7 linked regions of the Zea mays genome follow. The protein of the gene in region 2 binds, or shares a complex with, the protein of the main gene of each other region. Links are inferred from orthologs where the notes say so. Each region holds a gene or a part of one and is shown on either strand. Other genes may lie near its edges.

Region 1 (3,500 bases), on a different chromosome or scaffold from region 2:
ATGACATCCACAATAAAAGAATAATTAAAACATACAAGATTTGCACTGTTGATCTCAAGATGTCCATTCATCAGCATCCAAGCACCAGCACAAAGATATTGACGATGCTGAGGGAAACTGTGGCTCAAATAAGTCATGACATAGTTTGGCTCAGCAGATGGTGAGAGCAGCTGATTACATTGGTTAATAACAGTCGTTTCTGCCTGAAGAAAAAGGGAATATATCAATACAAAAGACAAAGAATGATGCAGCCTGCCCCAAAAACTTCACTGATAAACATGTGGTAGCAATTTAAGGACACAATAAACAGTACTATACTAAAAAAATGAAAAAAAAAATATTTTTGGAGATCTGATAAGTTTTAAACCTCCCTCCCGCCCATTGACAACGACTATCAAATCCACCGACCCAATTAGTTGAATTAGGTTTCAAGTCATTGACTTTATCGCAATTAGTTGTCTGATCAGGGAAGAGTGACAACTAGGCTGGCTGCTGGCGTAAGGATATTGGGCTGGCAATTGAGGTATGGCTTGGTTGAAATGTTGAAGAAAACAATTTAGGTTCCAAGCAACTAAAAGCTAACCAAATGTATGTGGAATACATAAATGGTAGAAAGTAGAAGTGTTGAAGGAAACATACAAGTAGTCAAACACCCAGTCCTAAAGGTAAAAACAATACCTGCTGCCATGCTTGGATAGCTAGACCCCTCTTATCCACTCTCCCCATTAAAAAATCACGAATGAGAGGAGGAAAATAACGCAGTGTCTTTTCTGACCAGGTATGCTGACTGGTTGCCATAATTTGCTCTAACAATGGTTGAAGATAAATCATGTGTTCAACTTCAGCAATTCCACGCGTCTTGATAGTGATTGCAAGACTTATTATTGTTATGCGGTTTAGAGTTTCAGTAAACTCAGTCGGGCCCTGGATTAAATACATGTAAAAGTTCATTTTAATATGATCTGGTGAGTGTCAGATTTCCAAAGGCAAGAAAGTACACTCATTACCTTCAATTCCTTTTTCACAAAAAAGAAGTCTTTCAGTGAGAGAATCAAATTCATGCACAAATTTTCTGCTAATCGAAAAAGACGATGTTCTCCACGTTTACCCTTAATCATTGATATTATCTTTGTGACATCATACATCAACGCCTTGCTTTTACCATGATACCTGAACAACACATTGGTGCACAGAAAATTATGAATAATAATTAATAGAAGGAAAGAATATTAGCCTACCCCAATGTTCTTGAACCAAAAGGCTTAAACCGTTTGGGTTTCAGAGACTGGCTCCCCAGCCTGGGCATTCTTCTTTTATGGCTTGGTGGGAGCAGATTTCTGGGTTGGCTTCTGGTATCCGTGGTAAAGGTCTTAATTCTCTTGTGGCCTTAGGAGCTTGGATAACCTGGAAGCATCGTAATAGTTGTGTTTTCGATGGTTGTACTCCTAGTTTAGATCTGTCCATTAATTTAGCCAGGGAGGAGAGGCAGTCTTGGGAGATGGCTGGGGCTAAGGGTCTTTCATACCTTGCTGCCCTAATTCCTGGAGACTAGGGAGTTGTTTAGTTTGATGGATTTTTTCAGTTTGCTGTGTTTCTGGCCCCCATGAGGAGGCCTTGTAATTTGTCCAGATCTCTTTGATCTGGATTTATCTCTTCTTCTTAATATATTGAGGCGCAGTTCTCCTGCGTTTTCCCAAAAAAAAAAAAAAGGTTTTGTTGTTGTTCTAAAGGAAAGATTGCAAATTTTCAACAAAAACAAATGGAAAACAAGGTCTCGCACATTTTCATGTGAAAGAAGTGCAAAACATGGTGTCCCTCCTACCCAAGGGAAAAAGAAATATTCATGGAAAGGTGGGAATATGATATGTTTGATAAATTAGGATTTCCTATCAGACAAAGAGGGAAGAAATTACATAGTAAATTATAGATACCTATACAAAGGCAGCAATCTGTAATTTAGTATCTCAAGTAGGAGCAATGACACACCAGATTTGCTCAAAATAGATGGAGATCTTTGGGTTAATGCCTGCAAAGTTTAATAAAATAATGTGCAGACATCAGAATTTCCATCACTGTGTCTTGTATGTAGTTTTGAAAATGAAACTTTTACATTGCACAAAGTCATAATTCAGAAACCAGACAAAAATAAATATTCAGGGTTGCATAATGACATGCTGCTCTGTACCAGTAGCATAGTTCAACACATAACATAAGAACTTACCGTAAAATGGGGACGAAACAATGAATGGGGTGCTATAAGCAGTAACCTCACATAGGTTTCCACCATAGCAATGCTAGGGACAGCCTACCAAAAGAAAGAAAGGGTCAATACTTGCTGACAAACATACAGTTGTCAAGGTGTATAGATACTACTAGAAAATTTTACTTACTGAAGACTACGAATGATTTCATAACATATAAATATTCACTTTACATAATGTCAAGGAAACACGTGGTAATTTAGACATAACACAAATTTAACTATTTTTGATAGAATCATGTGATATTGCAATCATATCAAATCATGTCCTTGTTGTAAATATTGAAACAAGTGCATGTTACTTAGATCCACATGAACACTAAAAGGATAGCATGGACTAAAAAATAGACAAATAGAAGGAATAAACTTAGGTCTTATCATCAGTTCATGCTTGGTGTTTCTACCTGGCCAAGAAATATGGTCTCTTCAAGCTGGTAAGCAAGCTTCAGACAAAGATTGATAGACAAGCCAGAAAGCAATGACATTGACAGAGGGTAAGTTTCACGCATCATCATTATTCTTTCACTTGGCTGCATATTAGGCCCTTGAATTAAATCTGCCATTCCAGCTGACGTAAACCAATTCATTACTGCTTCACAAGCTGGTTGCGCCATGGTGAAGGAGAGAACCCAGAACATGCCTGTTGCTCGTTCGTCCAAGTTCGTAAAGTCTATCATCCTCTCACCAGAAGCTATTATTTGAAGGAAGAAATGGTAGCTTTGATATTAATCACAGACACACAAAAGAATGCAAGGCGTAACATTTTGTGTAATCACAAATGTCACTCCAGAAAATTGCAAATGCACAAAATGAACTCTAAACTCTAGTATTACTATGCGTTGAAAAGAGCAAGAATTCTTCTCCTTGAAGATTCTTTTCTGTGGTCAACTGGTGACATATTGCCTATCTACGACGTCAAATTTCCTTCCATGAATTCTGGATCTACAAGGTCATCTATATACCAAAATCACAATGGTGCTTCCAGAGTAAGCAAGTACCTTTCATCATCTGTTTCCACCATTCGTCAATCTGTTTTCCTTTTTGAAGCTGATCACTGTTCAAATGTTCTCTAATCGAAGTGTTGAAAGACCAAATGCGCAGAGTCTGACTACTACTGATGAAATCAAGAAGAATACTTTGAGGGCCAATATTATTGGCGTCAAGGCTTTTGTCTTCTTTGTGGAATGAAATTATCTTTCTTGTGGTATCAACCTGATAGCAGAAGAAATGATCAGAATAT
Region 2 (3,500 bases):
TATATAATGTATACAAAGTGTTGTAACGCACGAGCAACTAATTAATGAACAGTTCAATTAATGGTGAGTTTGGTTTGTGGAGTCACCCTATGGTTCATGAGGTGATGCATGATGAATTCATAAAATAAATTTCAGTGGAATCAACTCGTTCCACATGTATATACTAATTATTAGCTTGTGAGGAATGGGGTGCGATGGATCAACTCATTATATTCCACAAACCAAATAAAAAAAGGAATGAGAAGATGGACCACCTCATTCCTGAAACCAAACACAGCCTACCGGGTTTGGTGACCAGGGAAACGGAGGGGGTCCATGGGGTGAATAGCAAGGGGGATTCCTCCCCATGGATCCCCTCCATTTCCCTGGTCACCAAATCAGCCCCACATAGAATCTGAGTAGCTGTCAATGCCATTGCATATTTAGATATTGTAGAGATGGAGCTAAAGATCAGATGAGACTAATGTTAGCTCATAGGAATGTCGCCTCTTAAAATGGCTTAAGGTCCTAATTGGTTGGGTTCTACAAACCAAATAAAAAAGTGAATGAGAAGATGGACCACCTCATTCCTGAAACCAAACACACCCTACTGGTTTGGTGACCAGGGAAATGGAGGGGATCCATGGGCCTTGCTATTCACCCCATGGATCACCTCCATTTCTCTGGTCACCAAATTAGCCCCACATAGAATCTGAGTAGCTGTCAATGCCATTGCATATTTAGATATTGTAGAGATGAAGCTGAAAATCAGATGAGACTAATGTTAGAAAATAGGAATTTCGCCTCTTAAAATGGCTTAAGGTCCCAATTGGTTGGGTTTTTCAACCTGCTTTGGCTTCCCAAAGAAGCCAGGGGTTGGTTTTCACCCAAATTCACAAACAAAAGAAGTTATTGACTAGTACTTCACCCGTCTTCATTCCAACTAATACTTCACCCGTCTTCATTCCAACTTTTCATGAAAATTACCCACCTGCTACTGGTTATGTTGTGTACCATTTCATTTGTTTTTCTCTATTACTTTCTCCATGAGAAAGAAAGTGTGGCCTCCACCACGTCATCGTCCTCGACATCCTCCACCACCACAGCATGTCATCCACAGCCCGAGGGCTCAACGACAACGACTGATGGGTGTGAACACATCCCCTCGCCCCTATCCTCCCCCCACCTACCCCTGACCTCTGCCTAGGAGGCCTCACCAGCGAGAGCCGGAGGACAGCGCCTCCACCCACCGCCCTCCTCTAATTGCCCCACCCCTAACCTCCACCTGGAAGGACTTGTCGGCGGGCGCACACCTCCCCCGTCCATGGCCTCTACCAGGAGGCCTCACCGACAGCGACGGGCGCACGCCACCCCTCGCCCTCTCCTTTCCCCGCCCCTATCCTCCAACATAGAGAACTTAATAGGTGCAAGCCTCCCTCCGCACCCGTCCTCTCCTCTCCCGACCGGTCGACCATGCCTTTGGCAGGGGAGCCTCCGCCACATGTGAGCGAGTGCATCCTGACTTCCTCACAGATGCAGCACTCCATCGCCGACCGTGGCTGCAAGGCCGACGCTCGTAGGCTGGCAGTTCCTCCCCAGGCATGGCCCTCGACGCCCCTCCCAGTGCACGAACTGGAAGGAAGAAGCTATCGAGCATAGTCCTCTTATTAGTGAGAGAGGGAGAGTTGAGTGGGGGAACTATGAATGACATGTGGGGTCCTCTCAATAGTTTCTCCAGAAGCTACACCTGTTCAACCAAACAGTTTTGACTTTTTCACATGCCAGACTCCAGCGTTTTCATGACCAACAGCTCACACGTGCTTTTTCAAAAGCCACAGCTCAACCAAACATGCCTAAAGACACAAGTTAACAATGAACCTCTAGCTAAAAGATTTGCATCATCAGACAAAAAACACCCAAATAAGACAAGCTATCCAAGGCAGATACCACGGAATAACAGAATCTAAAAAAGTTACACGAAAAGCAAACTGAATCTAAAAGGGAAGTAAAGAAGCGTACCACTATTCTGCACAGGGTTTTGATAGCAGAGACCGTCTGTCTCCTTTTAAGTTTTAACAGCAAATTACAAGGATTGGAGGTAGAGCTAGGAAGTGTTAACTAACTCCATTCCCCATCTCATCGGTTTTGGAGCTCTTGTGCTGCCGTAAGTTGACCATCCATGTTAAAAACAAAGAGGCAAATTTTCTCTATGAAAGCTATTGTATCAGCAAGAAAATAATAGCAGTGTGCTACCTTACTCTTCTTGTGCTTATGCACATCTACTGAATCTTCTGTTCCCTCATGCTTCCTCTTCTGATACAAATGGTGAGCATTGTCCATCAAAGGTATATATGGTTTAAAATGAAGCTATTCAGAGTTTTTGACCATACAGAAAATGGACTAACCTTTTCATGATGGCCACTTTTATCTTTTTTCTTATCCTTGTCTTTGTCTTTATCTTTGTCCTTACTCCGATCCTTATGCCGATGTTTGTGCTTCTTGTGTTCCTTGTCTTTGTCTTTGTGCCTTTTATGCTTCTTCTCTTTGTCCTTGGACTCACTTTTTGGTTTACCCGAAATAGTCGGTATACCTTTTTCAGTCTGTTGATATGGTATATGTTATAAACAGTACAATGAGCAAATCTAACAATGTCATAAGAGAAGTGAGATACTAGAAAGGATCTTACAGAAGGCAAATCCACAAGAGCTGTTTCTCGAAGTTGGAACGCTTGCCCCAGAGTTTCCATATCAAAGGGCTGAATATAAGCAGGTTTATCCCTCAGATATGCATTATGAACAAGTTGATCTAACTCCATTCCTTCTCCTTTGCGAATTTCAGTGTCTCCCACAACATTGTGAAGATAATGTGTATCTGATATTGCCAGCGGCAAAGGTTTCTTGCAAAAGAAATCATGGTGTGGCAGCAGTTTGTAGTGGCTGATCAAATCAACAGCACCAGTGAGCTCCCTTGGTCCTGAAATACAGAGATCGTATTATCAATCAACCACATAGCAGACAAATAAGGTTTCAGAAAAGATAGGTGCACTGATATATCTATGATACAAAATTTATTCTAGCATACAATAGACATTAGATGCAGTAATGCGGCTCATAAAACAACTTTGTGCACTATGACACAAAATATTAACCGTCCAAGTTCCAACTAACGCATTGTGAACTGTAAATAAGTAAATAAAACAGTTAAAATTTTGCCATTGTAAAAAGAACTGTAGTAAACAGCTGACTACAAGACATACTGGCCTCAACTGGCAAAACCGCAAAAGAATCAGCACCAGAAGTTTGTATTTAAAATTCCAAGCATATAATTATTACTAATTTTTTTGCAAACTAATGACGATAACTAATAATCAAGCAAGCTGTGATACTAATATAACTCTGTTGCTTTGTGCCCACATGAATTAGGATTTAGCATTTCAGATTTGCATACTGAATAATTGGCATATAAGGGGAACTGGGAAACATAGGGATCACAAATAATACTTACCTGCTTCCATCAAACAG
Region 3 (4,287 bases), about 55 Mb from region 2:
AGAAAGAAGAAACAACAAATTTAGGCATCGAAGTATATTAGGGGAGTAACCAGGATTCTCTAATAAAGAACTCGTCAAGGAACTATGAACCCAGACTTGACAGCAAAAGGTAAAGCGACCATAACCATACTCACCTTGTACCAATCACCATCGAGACCTGTTCTCCACACAGCCGTGACAACATCTCTTCGAGATCCCATGACACCTAGATAACCTCCAAGACCTACAGATGTTTTCAGACCAAATGCAGCATCTCTTTCAGATAACCTACGCTTTCTTGGCCAAAGATCAATCCCAATGGAACTGACAGCATCCACTTCCATGTCAGACAAATGAGAGTTGATGGAACCACTAATTTTTAGACGAGGCATATTGTCCAATGGACCAAAATCATCTGGTTCTGACCAGGGTCCACCAAACATGTTGCGTCTATGCCATTCTTCCGCAGGAGGTTGCAGTTCTAATTCTCGAAGTAGAAGTCCAGCAGCATCAGCTCCTCGTGGACGAGGCATATTCTACAGAGTTACAGACATAGGAAACAATGAAATATTGAAAATAGATGGGGAAGTAGGCATCGAGGGATCACTCAAAATGCCATGTCTAAGGCCCTGGCAGTAATAGTGCATGTTTCTATAAAAAATGGCTAATACAAAAAAGATAACTTCTGCTAAGAGAATCCTAATCAACATTTAAAGGTGGTCGTCCTGAATTCAGTTCGAAACAGGAAGACTTGCAATATCTCTGAGTCGTGCACTTGAAAATCAACTTCTACTCCTATAATTGATAGATGTTGGTAGCTCAAAATGGCCACAAATAGTACGAAAGCGACCATTAGAAACTTCCATGAGAATTTGACTAGTACCTGCATATGGGGACCAAGAGACGCTTCCACTACCTCAGGGAGCACTGTGTAGTTGCCGTCAATGTAGTGCAGCCTTATGATAATGCTACTGGAACCAACCTGAGAGGCAGGCAATGGATGCGGCAAGGTAGATGTCCTTCGACATAGGTCAACCAGTATAAGAAAAAGGACCTTGACCTACCAACAATGAAATAAAATTACAGAGATAATTAGATAAACTAGACAAAAAGAAATCTTCCAAAGAATAGAAAGACAGATCTGTAAAGCATCTGATAAATCACTCAATAGAGATCATGAACGACATATGCAATCAAACTGTTGTTCATGCTAGGCTGGACAAAATTTTAAACTGCTTAAATCAAGGGTCCAAAATAACCTACATACGCAATTGCACTCTATGATGGCTATATCGACATGTGTTCTCCCATAGCAACCAAAGCTAGACATTTCCAAAGAAATGCAGGAGCCAAAACATAGTTGTTTCCAAACTAATCACTATGTTCAGGACTTCAGGTCACCAGTTTTCCAGCGCATTTGGCACATCGTCAGCTTCTTCACACTAACTCCCAAAGTTCAAATGCCAACGATCAGTCCCAGTTTGGTAGCACTAACTCCCAAAGTTTCCTTAGTATAACTCAATATTAAACTCTGTAAAAAATACTATATCTTGTCAAGAATTTGATAATCACCTCATCTGAAGTATAACCTTGCCCAGCGTTGCCAGAACCTATTCTAACAGATTTGCCAATTGGATTTTCTTCAGGACCCTTTGCACCACCAAGAACAAATTGTCCACCACGCGCAGAGTGACCTTCTTCTACTTTGGCAGCCCCTAGACCAGATCTTACTGTCGAACTGTTATCTTCTGTCTTAGCATTCATCATGTGTTGTATTTTCTGCATGGCAGAATCTTGATTTTTTTGCGAACTGGCAAGTAACCTTGGTGATTGCCTTCTTCGGAAAAGCAGACAAAATAGCAGTAATTGACATAATCTATGAAGAAAATGGCAATCCCCAATAAGTCTCACAGCAGGTGTGCCAGGGAAAGTGCCCGTATTAATGCTGATGGGCATAAATGATGTCCTCGTGCTCATTGGATTCTGTGTTGCAGTGGCAGCACCATCAGAATTGTTACTAATCTTAGCAATTGCACCTTGGACCCACTCCTGCATTTGTGAGTTCCCTGTTGCAGATGTTGATCCCCCTTGATTACCTGAAATTTGAAGGAGCATCAAGATGCTAGCAGCACTAAATAAACAACACTTTAAGCCTCAAATTTGCAATGAAGAAAACATAAGGTTTGGATGTACTTTTTTGCGCACAAACAAGAGAAAAACACAAGATTTAGCAAGCTAGCAGGCATAGCTAACCTTGATTATTTGATGGCGAAGGAGAACTGTTTGTTGGACTTGTAACCATATTTCTAGAAGTGCCTGTGGTAGAAGATGGCCCCACATGGCTCGCCAGAGTTCGACAGAAACTCGCATAACGCCGCAAGCGAGTTATGAAATGTGATGCTAAATCAAGAACAGCATCAACGTAACCCTGCATTTGAATGCAAATAAAATAAGCTATTTCCTAGTAACATAAAGAATCCCTATGCAGATAACCTGTGCTGAAATTTATACAATACTCAACATTAAAAGGCTGTAATACACCAGTTTTGGCAAAGGATAACAGACATTGCACATGAGTTCACCAACATAACTAAAGTACCGTTTACATGGAAGTGATCTAGCATACCAATATACTGCTCACTACTTTATAAAATGAAAAAAAACGGCTCAGTAGCAAGTCTTAAAAGAATAAAGTCAGTAAAAAGAAAGAAAGAATGTTAGATAGCTGAATTTAAGTTCCATGGCTATGAAATAGAAACAACTTGCATAAAGGAGACAGCTTGACCTGGATGTTTGGAAGCAGAGCTGGCTCAACAGTCATTTTGTCAGCATCGATGCTGGATAACATATCACTGGAAGCTTGCCAGGGCTCAGGTAGCAGAGTTGATGGATTTGTAAGGGCAGACTCGATTCCTTTGCCTAGCATATCCAGAAGTAATCTTGCTTGCATGTCCAACACAAGTGCCCGTACATCTTGGGCATTTGTTCCTTCCAACAACCTACACTTAATCCTATCAAGGTTCTGCATGTACAATTGTACATTCATTAATCATAAAAGGAAGAAAGGTAGTAAATCAAACATTGAAGCCAAAAAGGTATAAAATATGAAATATCACCCAAAATTCCAACTGTCATATTAACTCATCACAACCCAAAATATCATATGAATCAGCTGTCCAGCCAGTCAATTAATTTAGAGACACCTGCTGAGATGCCAATGATTTTCAACCCAAAGGCAAACAGCCACTGGAAAAGTTTCTAGCATCATTTTGCGGTTAAAATAAAAAAATGCCACTGTTGTAAATGCCCATTAAAATGTACAATTTACACATACTTGTGGCCAGGGGCGGCCCCGGTCCAATAATACTTATATCATATCATAATTTTAGTCCATAAAATCCAACAAAAATAGGTAACAGCCTTCCATCTAACCGTGGCATCTAGCACCCGCACCCGATCTCGTCCACGCAGCCATGTCGCCACAGCACACCAGCACCAAACAGTAGTGCCGCACACACGCGCGCCTGGCCCCCATCCGTGCCATAACACTGCAGTAGTGCCAGTGCCGCATCACAAAGCCTGACGGGCAGCGCACTGTGCACCCACGCCGCCACGCAGGACACGGCCACGGACCAGCGTGCATGGCCGACACACCTGCAGCAGCTAGCAGCGTGTAGGCGCCCAGCAGCCAGCACAAGGTGCAGGCCAGCGCAAGGCGCACGCTGCAGCCAGCACAAGATTTTGAAACGTTTTTAAGGCATAAGAACTCGAAAGATAAATTTACGTTGCAACCGTAATTCATGAGGCTATGGCCAGCAGATCGTGCATATGACCGTGTAAAACATTGTTTTACACTGTAGAATGCACTATTTATAGAGTGGGGTTTGAAATATGAGATGAGGATGAGTAAGCTGATGGAGATATCTTGAGCGGTATATATTGAGTATTGTATTTATAGATTTCGTACCTACTTATTTTGTCTACATGTGTCTTGAAGATTTGAATTATACTTGTTACTTTGTTATATTAAACATTGATATATCATTTAGTTCAGCCTAAAAAAACTAACCTTCTTTTAGCAGCCCCTCCTTTGATCCATTCCTGGATCCACCACTGCCTGTGGCAGCAGAACATTAACAGTTCTATATTTGAAGAAAACAGTATATTGATCTGTGTTATGCTATAATTCACTTTAAAATCCAAAGCTATGCCAGTAGATAGACATGAATGTATATTTGGTTATAGCAATATCAAAATGAACCATATTCACTGAAAGCGTATGAACACCATCCACACTGTAGTCTAATA
Region 4 (2,951 bases), on a different chromosome or scaffold from region 2:
CTGGGGGGCATTTACTAACCGGTTGCACTTGCTTGCAACAAACTCATCTACCTTGCAAAATTCAGCAATATCCTTGGAACCATTTCAGCATTTGATTCTAGGTGATTGTGATGCATATGGTGAAACTAAACATAATGTGCATAAAAGATTCCACCAAATAGTGGCTTCTAACCCTCTATCTTCACCAAATGGACGATGTCTTGGTGCTAGCTATTCTGCACTATGGATTCCTATTGATATGTATCTTGAGGATTGTCTCGATTGTTCAATTGCTGCAACAAATTCTATTGAGATTTTAAGTGGTAATGTCATTCATCAATAGAAACGAATTCATAGGTTACCTTGAAGGATGGATCCATTTCCTTTTTTTTTTTGCTTTGGGTTGCTGCTAATCTAAATGAGTGGAAATTGTAGGTTTGGTCAAGGCTCTTCAAGCAGTCAATAGGTCGACTTGGCATGATGCTTTCTTGGCCCTCTGGGTAGCTTCACTTCGCCTTGTACAAAGAGTGAGTCTTCGATCTTCACTACAGTTATTCAGATTTGAGACAACATTATAATATTTCACATCCTAATCTTTGGTCGTTTGAAACAAGCAGGAAAGAGAACCAATTGAAGGTCCTGTACCTCACCTAGACACCCGGCTGTGCATGTTGTTGTCTATCACAACACTTGCGATTGCTGACATAATTATGGAAGCAGATTCACTTTGCAATGAAACAGAACTCAACAGTCATGTGAATGAGAAGAAAGCAATTGGTAATCTACGCAATGAATTGATGCTAAGCTTACAGATACTTGGTGATTATGAAAGCTTGCTGGTTCCTCCTTCATGTGTCATCCCAGCAGCTAATCAAGCTGCTACTAAAGCTGCAATGTTCATTTCTGGAATCAGTATAAACAATGGCTACATGGATAATGTCAATGGGATGAACTATAGTATGTGGCTTCTCTTAAGATATTTTTTTTTACACATATAATTGACGTTCTAGATTGACCTTCTAGTGGATGTAAGGTAGTCTTAATATAAATCATGTTTTAATTTGTCAGCTGGAAATATGCGACATTTGATTGTGGAGTCATGTATCTCAAGGCAGTTGCTGGATACATCAGCTTACTATTGGCCTGGTTATATCATGAATCATGCCAACTCTACATCTCATACACTCCCTAGTCAACTTGCTGGTTGGTCATCCTTCATGAAGGGTGCACCACTGACTCAACCACTGGTTAATATGTTGGTATCAACTCCTGCTTCCAGGTGTGTACCCCCCTGTTTTATATATCAGCAGCGCTGTTCCCTGATTCATATCAAAAAAAAGTTTGATCATAATCAGCATAAGTCTTGCCTTATGGCTTTGTAATTGGTTTTTTTGTCTCTCCTTTAATAGTAAGGCATGTAGCTCTCCTGCCTTGTTCGAAAAAGGGGGGAAAGGCATGTAAATTCTATGTTTGTTTCCTCCAAAAAGAAACGAAAAAATCAAAATAAGAACTTGCATTGTAGAATGGTGTACATTAAAAAGATTGCACTAGAGCTGAGCTATTAATATTCCTATATCTCAATATTACCATATTTGTTAATTCTCGTACATCATTATGGTAATAAACACTGAATGAAGCTCATAAACTTGATGGAAGCTTGGCAGAGGTCGACAAGTTATTTGAAGTTGCAGTTGATGGGTCAGATGACGACAGCATTTCAGCTGCCACTGTTTTATGTGGAGCCACCCTTTTACGAGGTTGGAATTTTCAGGTTAGTAGGCTGCAATTTCTAGTGTTGGCTCTCCCTGAGAGATGAGCAATTCTATTAAGTTGCATGCACCAACCAGTTCAATCCAAAAGCTTAAGCTGATAGGAGGCGATTATGCACCAATCAGTTCAACCCAAAAGCTTAAGCTGATAGGAGACGGTGCACAATTGACTTCTATTATATTCCAACATTCTCCCTCACGTCGACCTCTCTTAGGTCTCATGCGTGGAATATGAGCGAACATTAATTATTTTATTTAATTGCGCTAGCCAAGATTTGAACTCATGACTCCTGGCTCTGATACCATATTAAGTTGCATGCACCAACCAGTTCAATTCAAAAGCTTAAGCTAATAGAAGGAGGACAACCCACTTATATTATATTCCAACAAAATCACTTATACTCCAACACCCCCCCCCCTCACATGGAGGCTTCCTCTGGCCTTAGACGTAGAATGGAGCAAGCACCATTATTTTATTTAATTGTGAAATTGTTCGCCTTTCCTATCAGCTTAACATTTTGGGTTGTATTTGTTGGTGCATGCAACTCAATATGGTACCATAGACAAAGATCTCGAGCTCGAATCCTGGTCAACAATTAAATAAAATAATTATCGCTTGCTCTTATTCCATGTCATTCCATGTCTGAGAGCCCCCCTCCACATGAGGGGAAGTGTTGGAGTATAAGAAAATTGTAGAGTGTTGGAGTCTAAATGGATTGCCCAGAGCGTTGGAGTATAAGTGAAATGTCACCTCTCCCCATCAAGTTAAGCTTTTGAGTTGTATCGGTTAGTGCATGCAACTCAATATTTAGGTCTATAGTATGACTAATACTGACCCTATCACCGATTAATTTCAAAAAATAACTATGTGCATGGTAGCATGCATTGCCTGTTTTTATTTTACTCGAGAATCAATGTAACATCTCGCTGTCCTGAGATAATTAATAGTCAAATGCTGTGGTTTCCTGCCTTGTAGGAGCATACAGTTCGGTTAGTTGTTAAACTGCTCTCACCATCTGATCCAATTGATAATTCTGGAAGAGAGAGCCAATTGATAAAGCTTGGTCCAATGCTCAATGTTATTCTTTCAGGAATATCGGCCGTGGACTATGCTCCAATCTTCTCGTTCCATGGCCTGGTATGGTTAGCAACTTAGCATAACCACCTACAATCCTACATTGATTTCCACTCAGAAGTCTATAT
Region 5 (3,596 bases), on a different chromosome or scaffold from region 2:
TGAAGCCGGATCTGTCGCCCGATGTCGGACGACTTTGTTGTTCCTGTCCACTTTGAAGTTGGCCAAGAACCTCGCTTTTGCCTCCTGGATCATCTGCTCCTTGTGCTCCTCGAACTGGAGCTGTTCGTCAGCCGGCAAGGTCTCCTAAGTCGGCTCTATGATGTTGCTTGGGGAAATATTAGAGCTATCTCTTGAACCGGCCATTGAGGGCCGATTTGATGCGTCTATATTTGTGTCCCCAGCGGAGTCGCCAAAAAGTATGTTGACACCTTTTTGGAGGCGCCAATCACTTAAAAAAACCAGCGGCGGTGCTCTCTGGTCAGGCGCGGACGGTCCGCGGCACAGGACCGGACGGTCCGCGACTTGGCGCGAGGCGGTGGTGCTCTCTGGTCAGGCGCGGACGGTCCGCGACACAGGGCCGGACGGTCCGCGACCTGGCGCAGGAGCTAAGGTTCCCTGCCTGACGGCCGGATGGTCCGCGCCCTAGGGCCGGACGGTCCGCGCGTGCGCAGGGGCGGCGGGAGATCGCCGGCGGCGCCTGGATCTCGCTCCCGGGAGGGACCCCGTCGGGGAGGAGAGATCCTAGGTGGTGTCTAGGCTCGGGTAGACTGACCTAGACTTCTCTAATCGACGTAGAGTCGAGGAGAGGCGGAAGATTTGGGGATCGAGAGGCTAAACTAGAACTAGACTAGAACTACTCCTAATTGTACAGGAAATAAATGTGAAATATAAGTTGTATTGATTCGATTGATGATTACAAATCGGCCGTATACCTCTCTATTTATAGAGGAGGGGGCTGGACCCTTTACAAACTAATTTCCGAGCTTTTCCCGCGATTTTAGCTAACAAACATAGCACAAAACTCGGAACCCTAATTTACTCTGCGCACGCACGGACCGTCCGGCCCACAGGCGCGGACTGTCCGGACCGCGGACTGTCCGGCCTCCGTCCGCGCTCCTTTTGGTGCCAAACAATTTATAATTTTGTCACTCTCAGTTTTGACTTTATTATATTATCCCATATCTATAACTGATAGAATCATCTGTGTCTATAATTTAGGGTCCGACGTCATATTAATGAAGCCTATAAATGACAATGGTAAAATTGCCGATGGCTCAGCATTCTGCAAATGTGTGGTGACCGGAAGACTTGGTGGTATCCCAGGAATATGAGCGAGCATCTTTTGAATACCGGCACATACATTTTTTAGATCCGGCCTGGTCCATGCTACGTGGGCTGGATCCTGCAGACCCATTCCTGGATGAAATCGGCCTGCTACAATAAAGCCGCCGTCCTGCAAGTCTGGGACGGAGGAAGGAGAAGAGGGAGAGAGTGGTGGGGATTCGGCATGGACATCATCACGCAGCTGCAGGACCAGCTCGACGAGATGGCCGTGCTGGCCGTCAACACCTTCGGCACGCTGCAGAGGGACGCGCCGCCGGACCGCCTCTCCAGCAGCTACCCTGACCCGCTCAACCCCAACCCTAAGCCCGAGGACGACTCCAAACCCCAGGTCCAGGCCCAGCCCGGCGCGCCGCCGCCGCCACCGGCGCAGGCGCAGGCGCAGGCGCAGCCGCCCGCGCCTGACCTCACCGAGCAACCCAAGGCTATGAGCCGCGCCCTCGTCCTCGCGGCCAAGAAGGTAGGTACCCTGCCCCACTTCTCTTCTCGGTGTCCCCATCTTCTGGACCAAATGCCCGCCCGGTGATTCCAAAATATCTTTGTGTGGTTAAGTAGAAAGTTTCGGCTCGCTTCGTAGTTTTACTCGTAAGTCTGATGCTGCGAATAAGTGAAGGACCAACTGTTTAATTTTTGCTTGCTTGCCCGCGTTATGTGGAGACAAACAATGAAACCGTGTTGCCACTTACTAGTCTTCATATCTTGCTCCATTGCATAAGATAAGATGTTTATCCCAACAGTGTACAGAACAATCTTCATCTCTTGCTCCATTACATAAGATAAGATGTTTATCCCAACAATGTACATAACGTAGAGTCTTCATCTCTTGCTCCATTTCATAAGATAAGATGTTTATCCCAACAACAGCGTACAGACGTAGAATCTTCATCTCTTGCTCCATTTCCTAAGATAAGATGTTTATCCCAACAACAGCGTACAGACGTAGAGTGATGCATACGGGAGGGAGGGAGTGAGGGAGATCACTTTGTGTTAACCATGGTTGAAAACTTGAAATGTAAAGACTGGCAAACTTTAGTTCAAATTATGCTTGCTGCAGTTCCAACTTTTTCCCCTTAAATGAGGAACAATTATGGCCTTCTATGCAGTTTGATGCACTTGTTGCAGCAGTGCCACTATCATCAGAAGAGGATCAAGTGAAAAGAATCCAAGAGCTACAGGTAGATATCAGACAGTCAGATTAATTCATCGAGCACAGGATGGGCATCTGCCAAACTCCTACTCCAAATAAACTGTATGAAAATCTGAAATTTGCAGGCAGAGAATGAAGTCGTGGGACTGGAGCTCCAGAAGCAACTTGAAGCTGCCGGTAACACGATCCCCACTGTTTCTAGAGTTCTTACTATTATATGTCTAATTACTGATGTCATTGCGTTACAGAAAGGGAGTTGAAGCAGGTTGAGGTGCTGTTTAATGAAGCAACAGACAATTGCATAAATTTTAAGAAGCTAGATTAATTACGTTAATGTAAGTTGAGATGAATTTCTTCCTACAACTTATCAATGCACTGTCAAAGTCAATTTCTCTTTTAATTTGGCTCCAACAGTTACTTCTTGGTTTTGTATGTATTTGGCATCAAGTGTTGGAAACCGATCTAGCTCATAAGATATTGTGTTGACGTAAATCCAATGTCTGCCATAGCAGGTTTGCTGAAAAGAAACTGTTCCTGTGGATGGAGTGTGGAGGATGAATGCCAGTAAGAACTTTATATTCCGTCTTTTCAGATTCTCTACTAGTGAACAATAATTGCACTTAGCTTTTGTGTACTGGCATTCTGATCTGCCGGATTAGGATTGACCTTTGGTTGTAAGGTGCAATGTTTTTAGTATGAACTGACGCTTGAACTGTGGTGGTCTTTTTAATGGATCTGGCACCTGGCTTCCTCTGGGATTTCTTCTATATTTTGGTATTTGTTCAGTACCTGAGACCTTTGACACCTGTTCCTAAACTCCCCTCCAGCCACTGGCCTGGAGTAGAACTGTATTTGGGAAATAAAAGCACGGAAATTCTCTCTACAGTGCTCAGACATGATACTGGTTGGTTCTGCAAGGATACTCCCTGCTCACTCACACAGACACAATAACAAAACAAAGAGAAGGAAAAGATGCATCATTCCCCTACAGCCTTATTCATCGTCCGTTGAGCACAGCAGCAGCAGAGCAGCCCGTCGTGTCAAGCATATTTGCAGGTGCCAAGGCCTGCAAGAGGATCCAATGATCCATCATCCGGTGTCAGCTCCCCCAACACGGTTCACGGGCAATGAGACACTCACAGCAAGCAAGGAAGCACTCACTGGGGTCAGTGATGGTGATTATGCCGGTGCCGTTGAAGAAGCAGTTCCACGAGTTCCTCCCCCGGGCCTGGTAGTAGGCGTTCATGGCCACCGACGCCCGCGACAG
Region 6 (4,248 bases), on a different chromosome or scaffold from region 2:
GAAGTGAAGTTTTTTTGTTTCCTCTCTCTCTCTCTCTCTATCTATCGATCTATCTTTTTTTTAATATATACTCTTCCATTTCCTTTTTCCTTCCTACTATCTCTGCTGCTACACGAAGCCAGCATATGGTTGCTAGTGAAAAGGACACACGACTGGCCCTTCGGCTACCCCAGCAGCCACTCCAAAATGGAACACCCGCGTAAGTCATACTACTGTAGAAAATTTAAAAAAAATGAAAATAAAAAAAAGAACCTCGAAACAACCCTAGCCAGCCACTGTCCCACACTACTGGTGGGAGACGCTAGATGCGCACGCAGTGCACAGGGGACAAAATACAGAGACGGAATTCCTTCTCAACAAAAAGCATGAAACACATGCCACTTTTGAAATGGGAGTATCTATGCGCGGCGTGGGAATAAGCCAGGATGCTCGGATCAAGATGCTAACACTGCAAAAACAGACGATGCATTTCTTTCGCTGTTTATTATAGTTTCATCAGATTGTTTGGTGTAAGATTTTGATGGCTATAGTATTTTTTTTTCTTTTCCCGAGATTTCCGGAGAGGATTTTTTTCTTCTTTTTCTTTCCATCTCTCTCGCTCTTTTCGTTCAATCTTACTTATTATACCGTCACCCATTCTTATCGTTCTTGTTTTTTTGCGACCATGGGTTATCATCTCATGTATTGCGAAACCTATAGTATAGCATTCGACTCCTCATCTCATGTATTGCAAAGCATCGCGGACCTCTTGTGTCTTACGATTTTGCCACCTTGAGAGCCTGCTCTGTACTAGGTGCAGCGCGTCGCACGACTGTGTTAAAAAACTCGTCTTCCGTCTTTTTTTAAAAAACAAATGCACAACAGTTGCCTACAACGACAAGCATTTTTTTTCAAAAGTTATATTCATGTCTCGTCAGTTGTTTCATATAGAATTACGTCTTTATTGTCTCATTCAACCTATCAACTAGAACAAGTACCACGCACCAAGCTGTATTAAATTCACTACAATAAATTTTTTATTTAACACACATTGTACATGTTCCGACTTTATATGGATTTTTTAAAAAAATTAATGATTAAACATTGAAATACGACATGAAGAAAACAGAATAAAAATATATGATAAAGCTTGTGAGGGCATCCCATCCATTTGACATGACACGCTGTGTGCAGTGCTGAAAATACTTGTGCTCGGTAGTCGGTACGCAAATGACTTTGCAATTATGGCCCGAGAGAGATATGCTTTACCAAATAGTAAATAGTTCAGATTATACGCAACTAAACAATAATCATGATGGAAAACCACCCTGTGACTTTGTGAGTGAGCATCATCAACCTAGCAGCACTGCTCCTCAACACAGAGAGAGAGAGAAGGAAAGAGACCGGAAAGGGCGCCCCCCGACGCCCGAGTCGACCGCAACAAGAATCAGCCACGCCGCGTCTCACCCATCTCCCGTAGCATTTCCGCCATCTCCTGCGGGTTGAGTACGGCCGAGTCCTGCTGCCCTTCGCTCGCTTCTTCTGGTAAATTGCAGTTTGTTACCGCAATTGCAGCTGCTAGTGGTGGCGAGGCATGGGCCATGGGAGAAAGACTAGTTGTTGCTGGTGTTTGGTAGTAGTAGCCGCGTAGGTCTCGTGGGTGTGCGCACCCTGCCTTCCCCGTCCCTATCCGCCCGTCTCATCGTCATCCCCTTCCTGTCTTCAACTTCACCTTCCCTGTGTTTCCTCCCCGCTTCCTTCCGCTCTAGGGGTCAGCCAGGCAGTCCAGATAAGATTTGCTCTGGTTAGGCTACCTCCGCGCCGCGCTGGAACTCCCTCCCGGTGAGGTTGTTGAAACCGACAAGGAACGGGGACGTGGGGCCCGAGGAAGGTCACGCTGCTAGTTTTTTTCCTTCGCGATCGATCCCTTCCGCCTCCGGATTCGCCCTGCTCTTGTTCCTCCGCTGTTTTCTCGATCGGTTGGCTGGTGACTCTGCCCCTGCCCCTGCCCCTGCCCCGGCCCCGATTCGGGGGAATCTGATTCGCCGTTGGGCGGGCGGGAGAGATTGGGTTCTTGGTTCTGGTGCCGGTGCGCGCGGCGTAATTTGGTAGCAGATAGAAGCAGGAAGGGGGAGCATCGGCCCTTGGCTGCGCTGCTGAGAATCGCGGTCGGGGGAGGCTGATCTTGGCGACGGTGGCCCGGCGGGGACCGGTGGCGGCCGCGGCGATGGCCGACGGGCTGGATCGGTGGCGCGGCTTCTTCCGTGGCGCCGGCGCTGGCATCTGCGACGTCATCGAGAACGCCATCCTCGTGGCGGCGGCCGACGCGCCGCGGGACTTCCTGCACCGCCGCGACCGCATCGCTGAGAGGCTCTTCACCGCGCTCCGCCGCGACGCGGCGCCGCCGTCCTTCGGCAGCGCCGCGGCGTCCACCACCCCGGCCACTCCCGTTGAGGAGGACAAGGGCAGCGTGCGCCGCGTCGCCGAGAAGGAGTGCAAGGTCGACAGCAGCAGCAACGGTACCCACGGCGGCGGCGGCCATGGCCATGGCCACGCCGATGAGGACGATGATTCTGACTCTGACGACGAGCGCCTCCGCCGCGCCGCAGCGAGCAACTATGGCCACAACTACGATGATGATGACGAAGATGGCGACCAACAGGAGGAAGATGAGCAGCAGCATGCCGCGGATGATACTGAAGAAGGGGAGGAAGACCACGACGCTGAGGAGCTCGAGGCGCTCACCAATGAGATCGATGAGGAGTCACAGATCGTCGGCGAGGTCCTCCGCATCAAGGAACTCCTCCTGCACAAGGAAGACCATGTACTGGCAGACTGCCTCGTTTCTTCATTTATTTATAAGGTCCTTAAACTTCGAATTCCTCTGAGCTAAATCATGTTGTTCCTGCAGTCGGATGCCACTTTGTTCGATTCACTGAGGAGGCTGCAGTTGATGCAATTGTCCGTCTCTACGCTAAAGGTACAAAATGGATATTGCGTACATATGAGCTATTTGATGTGTTGATCCCTGTTTGCTCTGGCTGTTTGGTTTCTTAATCTTAGGACTGTTCATTGCAGGCTACTGAGATTGGAAGAGCTGTTAATCGGCTGCGGAAACACAACTCACGAGAGATTCGGCACCTCGTGTGCACTCTCATTGAGTAAGTTCCATCTTCATTTCTGTCAATTTTGGTCCCTAGTGCTACTTCTCTGTTGCTTTCAAAGTGCTTAATAGCAGACCAAAATCACTGATCAAATATCAACCAACCAATTGTAGATTAGCTACATAATCATTGGAAGTGCCTTCTTGCTAGCGTTCTTGGAAATGTTGTTGACATATGAGGTTACCTTGTGTGTTTCAGAGGTTGGAAAGTTTTGGTTGATGAATGGGTCAGTACCACAAATGCTGCCCTGACAGGTAACTGAATTGAATTGATCTAACAGTTTCTAAATGAAGACTGGCATCTTAGCTTAATATGGATATTTGTTCTTTGGTGCTGTAGAGAACTCCCCTGGCTCTTCAAATCCTTCTGTTGTGGATGAAGAAGAGGAAGGGCTTCCATCTCCACCTTTGGACGAAGGGGCCTTCTTTGCCACCCAAACCACTTCTATTCAACTCTCTGAGGTACTGATATAGTTAATTCCTGCCATCTGATTGGGATTTGTGTTTAACAACAATCTGACTCTGTGTCTGTTGTTTTTCCTCCCATCTCCCCAACCTAAAGTTCTTTGACGAAATGGATGAAGATGGAAGTGAGTACAGCAATTTAGCAGTTCTTAATTTTCCATGCTTATTGCTTGGTTTTAACATTATGATGATTATTAACGTTGCGCATACGGTGCCAGATTTGAGACATAGTAATGACCCGAGCCTTGGAAACAAGAGGGGTAACAATGGTGGGAGACTTGCAAGCCATTCAACGGTTGCAAGGCAAGATCCACCTCGCTCTTATCCTGGAGTCGTCGAAAGAGTTCAACCCAGGAGGCTAGAACTGGCAAGGCAAGAGCCACCAATGAGGCAAGCGAACCCACAAACCCTCCAAAGTTCAAGTTTGCAAGCCAAACCTCACGGTGCGCTCAACAAGCAGTCTAATAATCCCTCAAGTTATGAATCTGGACCGGGGAGACCAGTAAAGGCAGCTCAACAGAGACCATTTGGTGACATGAAACCTAAACAAACTCGAGAGCATGTTGCTATCGAGAGAAAGCCTATGGCAAGCCAGACAGATGTAAGTACACGCAACTAAGGCACATGTTTTTGACGATGGT
Region 7 (4,269 bases), on a different chromosome or scaffold from region 2:
GATTTACCACTTAAAGTCACCTTGCAGTACTTACAAATGGCTCCATACCATACCATCTTACCATTGACAAGGTGAGTCGGTTCATCAAAGTCATGCCACACTTTAGATCTGAGAGGACACTTACTGGAACTGGTGGCGGCGGTGCTTGTGCCGGTCGGTGTCGGGCTCGTGGATCCTGTGCCCGCTTGACCACCGGTGGCGGCACCAGGGACATCATCATCATTATCGATGTTGATGGCAACACTACTGCCAAATAGGATCCGGGCATCCTCTGCTTTGTTATGATATTCTAGCCGGTGCTCCTCGTCCACAACGGTCGGATGAAGGTCATCGTCCATGCCGTAGACAGATGGCTCCTCGCCGACGACTGGGGTCCCTGGACAGCTACGTGGCACCGACACAAGCGATACCTAGGAGATTCATCACATCCATGGGATTCCAATCAAGATCTAATACACAAGAGAAGGGGATGGAGATTAGGGTTCAGGACATAACCTGCGCAGCCGGAGCACCTTAGTCGCCTTGAGAGCACCACCGCGAGGAGGAACACCTCTGCTAAGAGGATGTCAGGAGCCGAGGATGGGGATTACTCTATTGGGATTCGGGTGTGAGGAAGGGAAGATGATGAGCGAAGAGATGAGGAGAGTATAGATGTCCAAACAAGCCGTCGCTGGTAGCCGTCACCAGTAGCCGTCGGCGGGAGAGGCGAGATTTCGTCGGTCACCAAGGAGCAAGAGGTAGGAGCCACGGGAGAAGGGGAGGGGATTAGGTTTAGGGTTTCGAGCGAGCGAATGCCGGGGGGGTGCGTCATGGGGCAGGGCCGATGTGTGTTATGCGGCGTGGAACGGACAGACGCCGTGTCTGGCTCATTTTCGTGCTGGGTCGGGCCGAGCACGACGTGCCGGCCTCAAAGCCCAAGCACGACACGTCCACCGTGCCGGGCTGTCCCGAGCTCGATGCGCAGCGAGCCGTGCCGGGTTGGTACCAGGCTTCGGATAAATTTGGCTGTCCGGCCAATATAGACATCTATACCTGTTAAACTGCTAAACAAACTTAGCATCATCAGGCATCGGCTACACTATCATTGTAAAGTCCGTTTGCTTGTAGGTTGGCTTTAATTAGCCCCAGCTCCTCTGTGTGAACTAGGAGGCGTACGTGCCATCAAATTCTGTAAAGTTTGAAGCATGCTGCAGGCAGTATACTCGTGAGGATGACACAAAAAACACATATTTAGTGATACCAATTTAATGGTGTAAATACCACCGTCTCTTTTTGTATAAGTATATTAACTCTAAGTTTAGTTAAATAAAAAATAGTTTAATATATGACGACTCTGTATGCTCATCTCATCTAGGTATACATTTTGTTAGGACTTCTCCAAATTTTGAACTCTGCATTATGAACTTTTGGATTCTGGACACATGTTTTGTCGAGTGCAGAGAATTGACTTGACTGTCCCCCGGCCCTCACATGTCAGTCTGAGCCAGACACGCAAACTGGTGGTACCGCCATAACGATCTGAAAACATCCTCCATTAGTCCGCCTCCGGCCACCCCCTTTCATTCCGCCGCAACGCCACCGCCCCCAACGCAAGTTTCCGGCGATGGACCCCGCGGCGGCCGCGCTAGGTGCAGTACCCGCCGCTGGCGCGCCACCTCCGGGCGCAGCCGCAGGGGACCAGCAGGCAGCTCCCCGGGTTGAGCGGCTCAGCGCGGGGGTGCAGCAGCAGTTGAACCTGGAGGGGATGCGCGCGCGCGCGGTGGGGCTGTACAAGGCCATCTCCCGCATCCTCGAGGACTTTGACGTCATCATACGCACCAATCCCAGCGCCTCCCCCAAGTGGTAACTTCATCCCCAGCCCCGCCCCTCTTATTGGCTATCGGCTGATGGCTGGCAGCAGTGGATTCTAGGGTTTAATTAGGATGCCTCTGCTCGTGTGGCGTCGCTGCGCGATTGCTTACTGGTATGGTATGGCTGCCTCTGGGTGAATTGCAGGCAGGACGTGCTCGGGCAGTTCTCGATGGTGAGCATGGAGCTCTTCAACATTGTGGAGGACATTAAGAATGTGTCCAAGGTGTTTGTCGTGTACCCCCGGAATGTCAATGCCGAGAATGCAACAAGTATGCCGTTCTGAGTTTTTTCCCCTTTATGGATATGCATATATCTTTTGTTATCTGTGTCAATTTGGTTATCACGTAATGGTATTTGTTTTCTTAGAAATCATAATTAATATTTAGTTGATCTAACATAGGGGAGTTTAACATCTGTTGGTTATGTTCTAGTTGCATGGTTTACTGATTCAGTCATGAAATAAATCATCTCCAGTTCAGGGACAACAATTTCCAAAGACATTAAGAGTTCTTTGCCCTTGTTTGTAAAAGTTTGGTTGGTTCAATCAAGACATGAACAACAACCTCTCTGAAAGATTATCAATGGAAGCATGTAATTTGGGAAGAAATTATCTGATATGAAAATTTGCTCAGTTTATGTGTTGAAGTTTTGCTATGTAACCAACTGTATTGAGTCCAAAGGAATCCATCAAACATTTTCCCTTATTTGACCCAACACTAAATAGTCTTTCGTTGTTCATGGTCCAGTATTGGTGAACACCTAATGAGATTATGATTTTCAACACATGATGAGATTATACGATTCATTTATGCTTCCATATATTTTTAGAAAAAAACCCTATGATTTTGTTTCTAAAGTAAGGATGAATGATGACTACAAGTATGACCAGTTGGGCTAATACTTTGCTGTGCCGTTTCTTTGGGGTCTTCTCACAAGTTTTATTACACATGAAGATTCAATCTAAGATTTTTCTTACTGTCAACTGATGTTTATTTCCAGTTGTCCACTAATCAAAATTCTGAATTAGGTTTCAGACTTTTGAAGTTTTCTACTAGCCATGGCCTTAATTTCATGGCAAGCTATTCTGAGATAAATAAACACAGTGCAAATGACCCAACAAAAATGTATTGGAAATGGTCATTCTAATTGTTCTGATGCATTGTCATCTAGTGTTCCCATTTTGCATACTATCAATGGTTTGTACAGTTATTTATTATTAGAGTTGCAGTATAATCCTTATGAATATTGCAGTACTACCTGTAATGCTGTCGTCAAAACTGCTGCCTGAGATGGAAGTTGAGGAAACTACTAAGAGAGAGCAACTATTGTCTGGAATAACTAATCTACCTGTGCCTACACAGATTGAAAAATTAAAGGTGACCAATTTAGTATGAAAAATGAAAACCTATAGCATGTGTTGCTAGCTTGATTTATCGGCTATCTATTAATTAGAATGAACCTGGTACCATCCCTTTCAGGTTAGAATAGACATGATTGGGAGTGCATGCGAAACTGCTGAGAAAGTAATTGCAGAATGCCGTAAGAGCTATGGGCTGGGAAGCCGTCAGGGGACAAATCTTGGTCCTACATTGGACAAAGCACAAGCTGCAAAGATACAGGAGCAGGAAGGCCTACTTAGAGCAGCAGTAAATTATGGTGAAGGTGAAAGGCATAGTGCTTGGTCAATATTAATAAAAAATGCAATTAGATTTCCAAAATAAAGAGTCCTTTTTACTTCTATTTTGTGTTACAATTTCAATACTTATAGCCTTACTAAAATTATCTGAATGCCAGGATTACGGGTACCTGGAGATCAGAGGCATCCACAATCTCTTCCTATCCATCTGATAGAAGTGCTTCCTTTAGGAGACGGTGCACAAAATTTTGGTGATAGTTCTGGTATGTAGATTTTCTTGTGTATCTAAACTCTCTTAATGAACCTCTCCTCGTTTTGAGTTTTAACATCTGTCGATTGTCTCATTTTCATGCGCTATAGACCGAACTCCTATTGTGCTAGGATTAGTGTTTATCCTCAATTGCTAAAATCACGACCATTTGCATTGAGATATGTGCTGTAAAAGTTCCTTATATGTTTAACATTTGCCATATTAATGGGAGATTTGTGCCGTAGAAGTTCCTTGTATGCTTAACTCTTTGGCATTTGCATTGGAGATGTATTTGACAAATGCACATCTAATTTCTATTTGTATTTGCAGGTAGTTATCCCAAAAATATGTCAACATTTGCACCTAATAGTGTCAACAGCCAGGGAAATCAGATTCAGGTTTCTGTTATAACTGAGTTATTATTATGATATTAGAAAGGGTCTATCTTCTATTGTTATCACTCTTTTGAATTGAAAACCTCTTTGGTTCATTCTGTTTTTATGACATCAGTCATCTTCCCATGGTGTTGATA

What was found.
Region 1: Probable mediator of RNA polymerase II transcription subunit 19b (region 2) and Mediator of RNA polymerase II transcription subunit 23 share a complex: the UniProt entries of both Arabidopsis thaliana proteins name them as parts of the mediator complex. The link is inferred for Zea mays from reciprocal best matches to the Arabidopsis thaliana genes AT5G19480 and AT1G23230.
Region 3: Probable mediator of RNA polymerase II transcription subunit 19b (region 2) and uncharacterized protein LOC100216950 share a complex: the UniProt entries of both Arabidopsis thaliana proteins name them as parts of the mediator complex. The link is inferred for Zea mays from reciprocal best matches to the Arabidopsis thaliana genes AT5G19480 and SFR6.
Region 4: Probable mediator of RNA polymerase II transcription subunit 19b (region 2) and Mediator of RNA polymerase II transcription subunit 33A share a complex: the UniProt entries of both Arabidopsis thaliana proteins name them as parts of the mediator complex. The link is inferred for Zea mays from reciprocal best matches to the Arabidopsis thaliana genes AT5G19480 and RFR1.
Region 5: Probable mediator of RNA polymerase II transcription subunit 19b (region 2) and Mediator of RNA polymerase II transcription subunit 21 share a complex: the UniProt entries of both Arabidopsis thaliana proteins name them as parts of the mediator complex. The link is inferred for Zea mays from reciprocal best matches to the Arabidopsis thaliana genes AT5G19480 and MED21.
Region 6: Probable mediator of RNA polymerase II transcription subunit 19b (region 2) and Probable mediator of RNA polymerase II transcription subunit 26b share a complex: the UniProt entries of both Arabidopsis thaliana proteins name them as parts of the mediator complex. The link is inferred for Zea mays from reciprocal best matches to the Arabidopsis thaliana genes AT5G19480 and AT5G05140.
Region 7: Probable mediator of RNA polymerase II transcription subunit 19b (region 2) and mediator of RNA polymerase II transcription subunit 8 share a complex: the UniProt entries of both Arabidopsis thaliana proteins name them as parts of the mediator complex. The link is inferred for Zea mays from reciprocal best matches to the Arabidopsis thaliana genes AT5G19480 and MED8.

The regions. Positions count from the first base shown.
Region 1 is NC_050100.1:213,173,174-213,176,673, forward strand, and holds part of Mediator of RNA polymerase II transcription subunit 23, read right to left. Parts: intron 3,473-3,500; coding exon 3,259-3,472; intron 2,952-3,258; coding exon 2,665-2,951; intron 2,306-2,664; coding exon 2,222-2,305; intron 2,027-2,221; coding exon 1,932-2,026; intron 1,171-1,931; coding exon 1,008-1,170; intron 925-1,007; coding exon 679-924; intron 204-678; coding exon 36-203; intron 1-35. UniProt on the Arabidopsis thaliana protein: Component of the Mediator complex, a coactivator involved in the regulated transcription of nearly all RNA polymerase II-dependent genes.
Region 2 is NC_050096.1:177,740,554-177,744,053, reverse strand, and holds part of Probable mediator of RNA polymerase II transcription subunit 19b, read right to left. Parts: intron 2,953-3,500; coding exon 2,666-2,952; intron 2,580-2,665; coding exon 2,385-2,579; intron 2,293-2,384; coding exon 2,233-2,292; intron 2,139-2,232; coding exon of another isoform or gene 2,094-2,138; exon of another isoform or gene 1,853-2,093; intron 741-1,852; exon of another isoform or gene 1-740. UniProt on the Arabidopsis thaliana protein: Component of the Mediator complex, a coactivator involved in the regulated transcription of nearly all RNA polymerase II-dependent genes.
Region 3 is NC_050096.1:232,623,766-232,628,052, forward strand, and holds the start of uncharacterized protein LOC100216950, read right to left. Parts: upstream 2,801-4,287; coding exon 2,765-2,800; intron 2,408-2,764; coding exon 2,233-2,407; intron 2,076-2,232; coding exon 1,552-2,075; intron 1,040-1,551; coding exon 863-1,039; intron 516-862; coding exon 135-515; intron 1-134. UniProt on the Arabidopsis thaliana protein: Component of the Mediator complex, a coactivator involved in the regulated transcription of nearly all RNA polymerase II-dependent genes.
Region 4 is NC_050097.1:165,231,155-165,234,105, reverse strand, and holds part of Mediator of RNA polymerase II transcription subunit 33A, read left to right. Parts: coding exon 1-302; intron 303-414; coding exon 415-506; intron 507-596; coding exon 597-936; intron 937-1,047; coding exon 1,048-1,258; intron 1,259-1,635; coding exon 1,636-1,750; intron 1,751-2,724; coding exon 2,725-2,886; intron 2,887-2,951. UniProt on the Arabidopsis thaliana protein: Component of the Mediator complex, a coactivator involved in the regulated transcription of nearly all RNA polymerase II-dependent genes.
Region 5 is NC_050099.1:37,999,011-38,002,606, forward strand, and holds Mediator of RNA polymerase II transcription subunit 21, read left to right. Parts: upstream 1-1,348; coding exon 1,349-1,642; intron 1,643-2,285; coding exon 2,286-2,357; intron 2,358-2,454; coding exon 2,455-2,506; intron 2,507-2,577; coding exon 2,578-2,654; 3' UTR 2,655-2,664; intron 2,665-2,838; exon of another isoform or gene 2,839-2,841; 3' UTR 2,842-3,096; downstream 3,097-3,596. Other genes in the region: putative X8 domain containing family protein isoform 1 precursor, read right to left, coding at 3,370-3,395, 3,491-3,596. UniProt on the Arabidopsis thaliana protein: Component of the Mediator complex, a coactivator involved in the regulated transcription of nearly all RNA polymerase II-dependent genes.
Region 6 is NC_050103.1:106,778,687-106,782,934, forward strand, and holds the start of Probable mediator of RNA polymerase II transcription subunit 26b, read left to right. Parts: upstream 1-1,448; 5' UTR 1,449-2,206; coding exon 2,207-2,803; intron 2,804-2,890; coding exon 2,891-2,959; intron 2,960-3,057; coding exon 3,058-3,140; intron 3,141-3,341; coding exon 3,342-3,397; intron 3,398-3,482; coding exon 3,483-3,604; intron 3,605-3,704; coding exon 3,705-3,732; intron 3,733-3,825; coding exon 3,826-4,208; intron 4,209-4,248. UniProt on the Arabidopsis thaliana protein: Component of the Mediator complex, a coactivator involved in the regulated transcription of nearly all RNA polymerase II-dependent genes.
Region 7 is NC_050102.1:151,801,048-151,805,316, reverse strand, and holds the start of mediator of RNA polymerase II transcription subunit 8, read left to right. Parts: upstream 1-1,469; 5' UTR 1,470-1,603; coding exon 1,604-1,842; intron 1,843-1,995; coding exon 1,996-2,120; intron 2,121-3,102; coding exon 3,103-3,227; intron 3,228-3,329; coding exon 3,330-3,513; intron 3,514-3,645; coding exon 3,646-3,750; intron 3,751-4,067; coding exon 4,068-4,135; intron 4,136-4,269. UniProt on the Arabidopsis thaliana protein: Component of the Mediator complex, a coactivator involved in the regulated transcription of nearly all RNA polymerase II-dependent genes.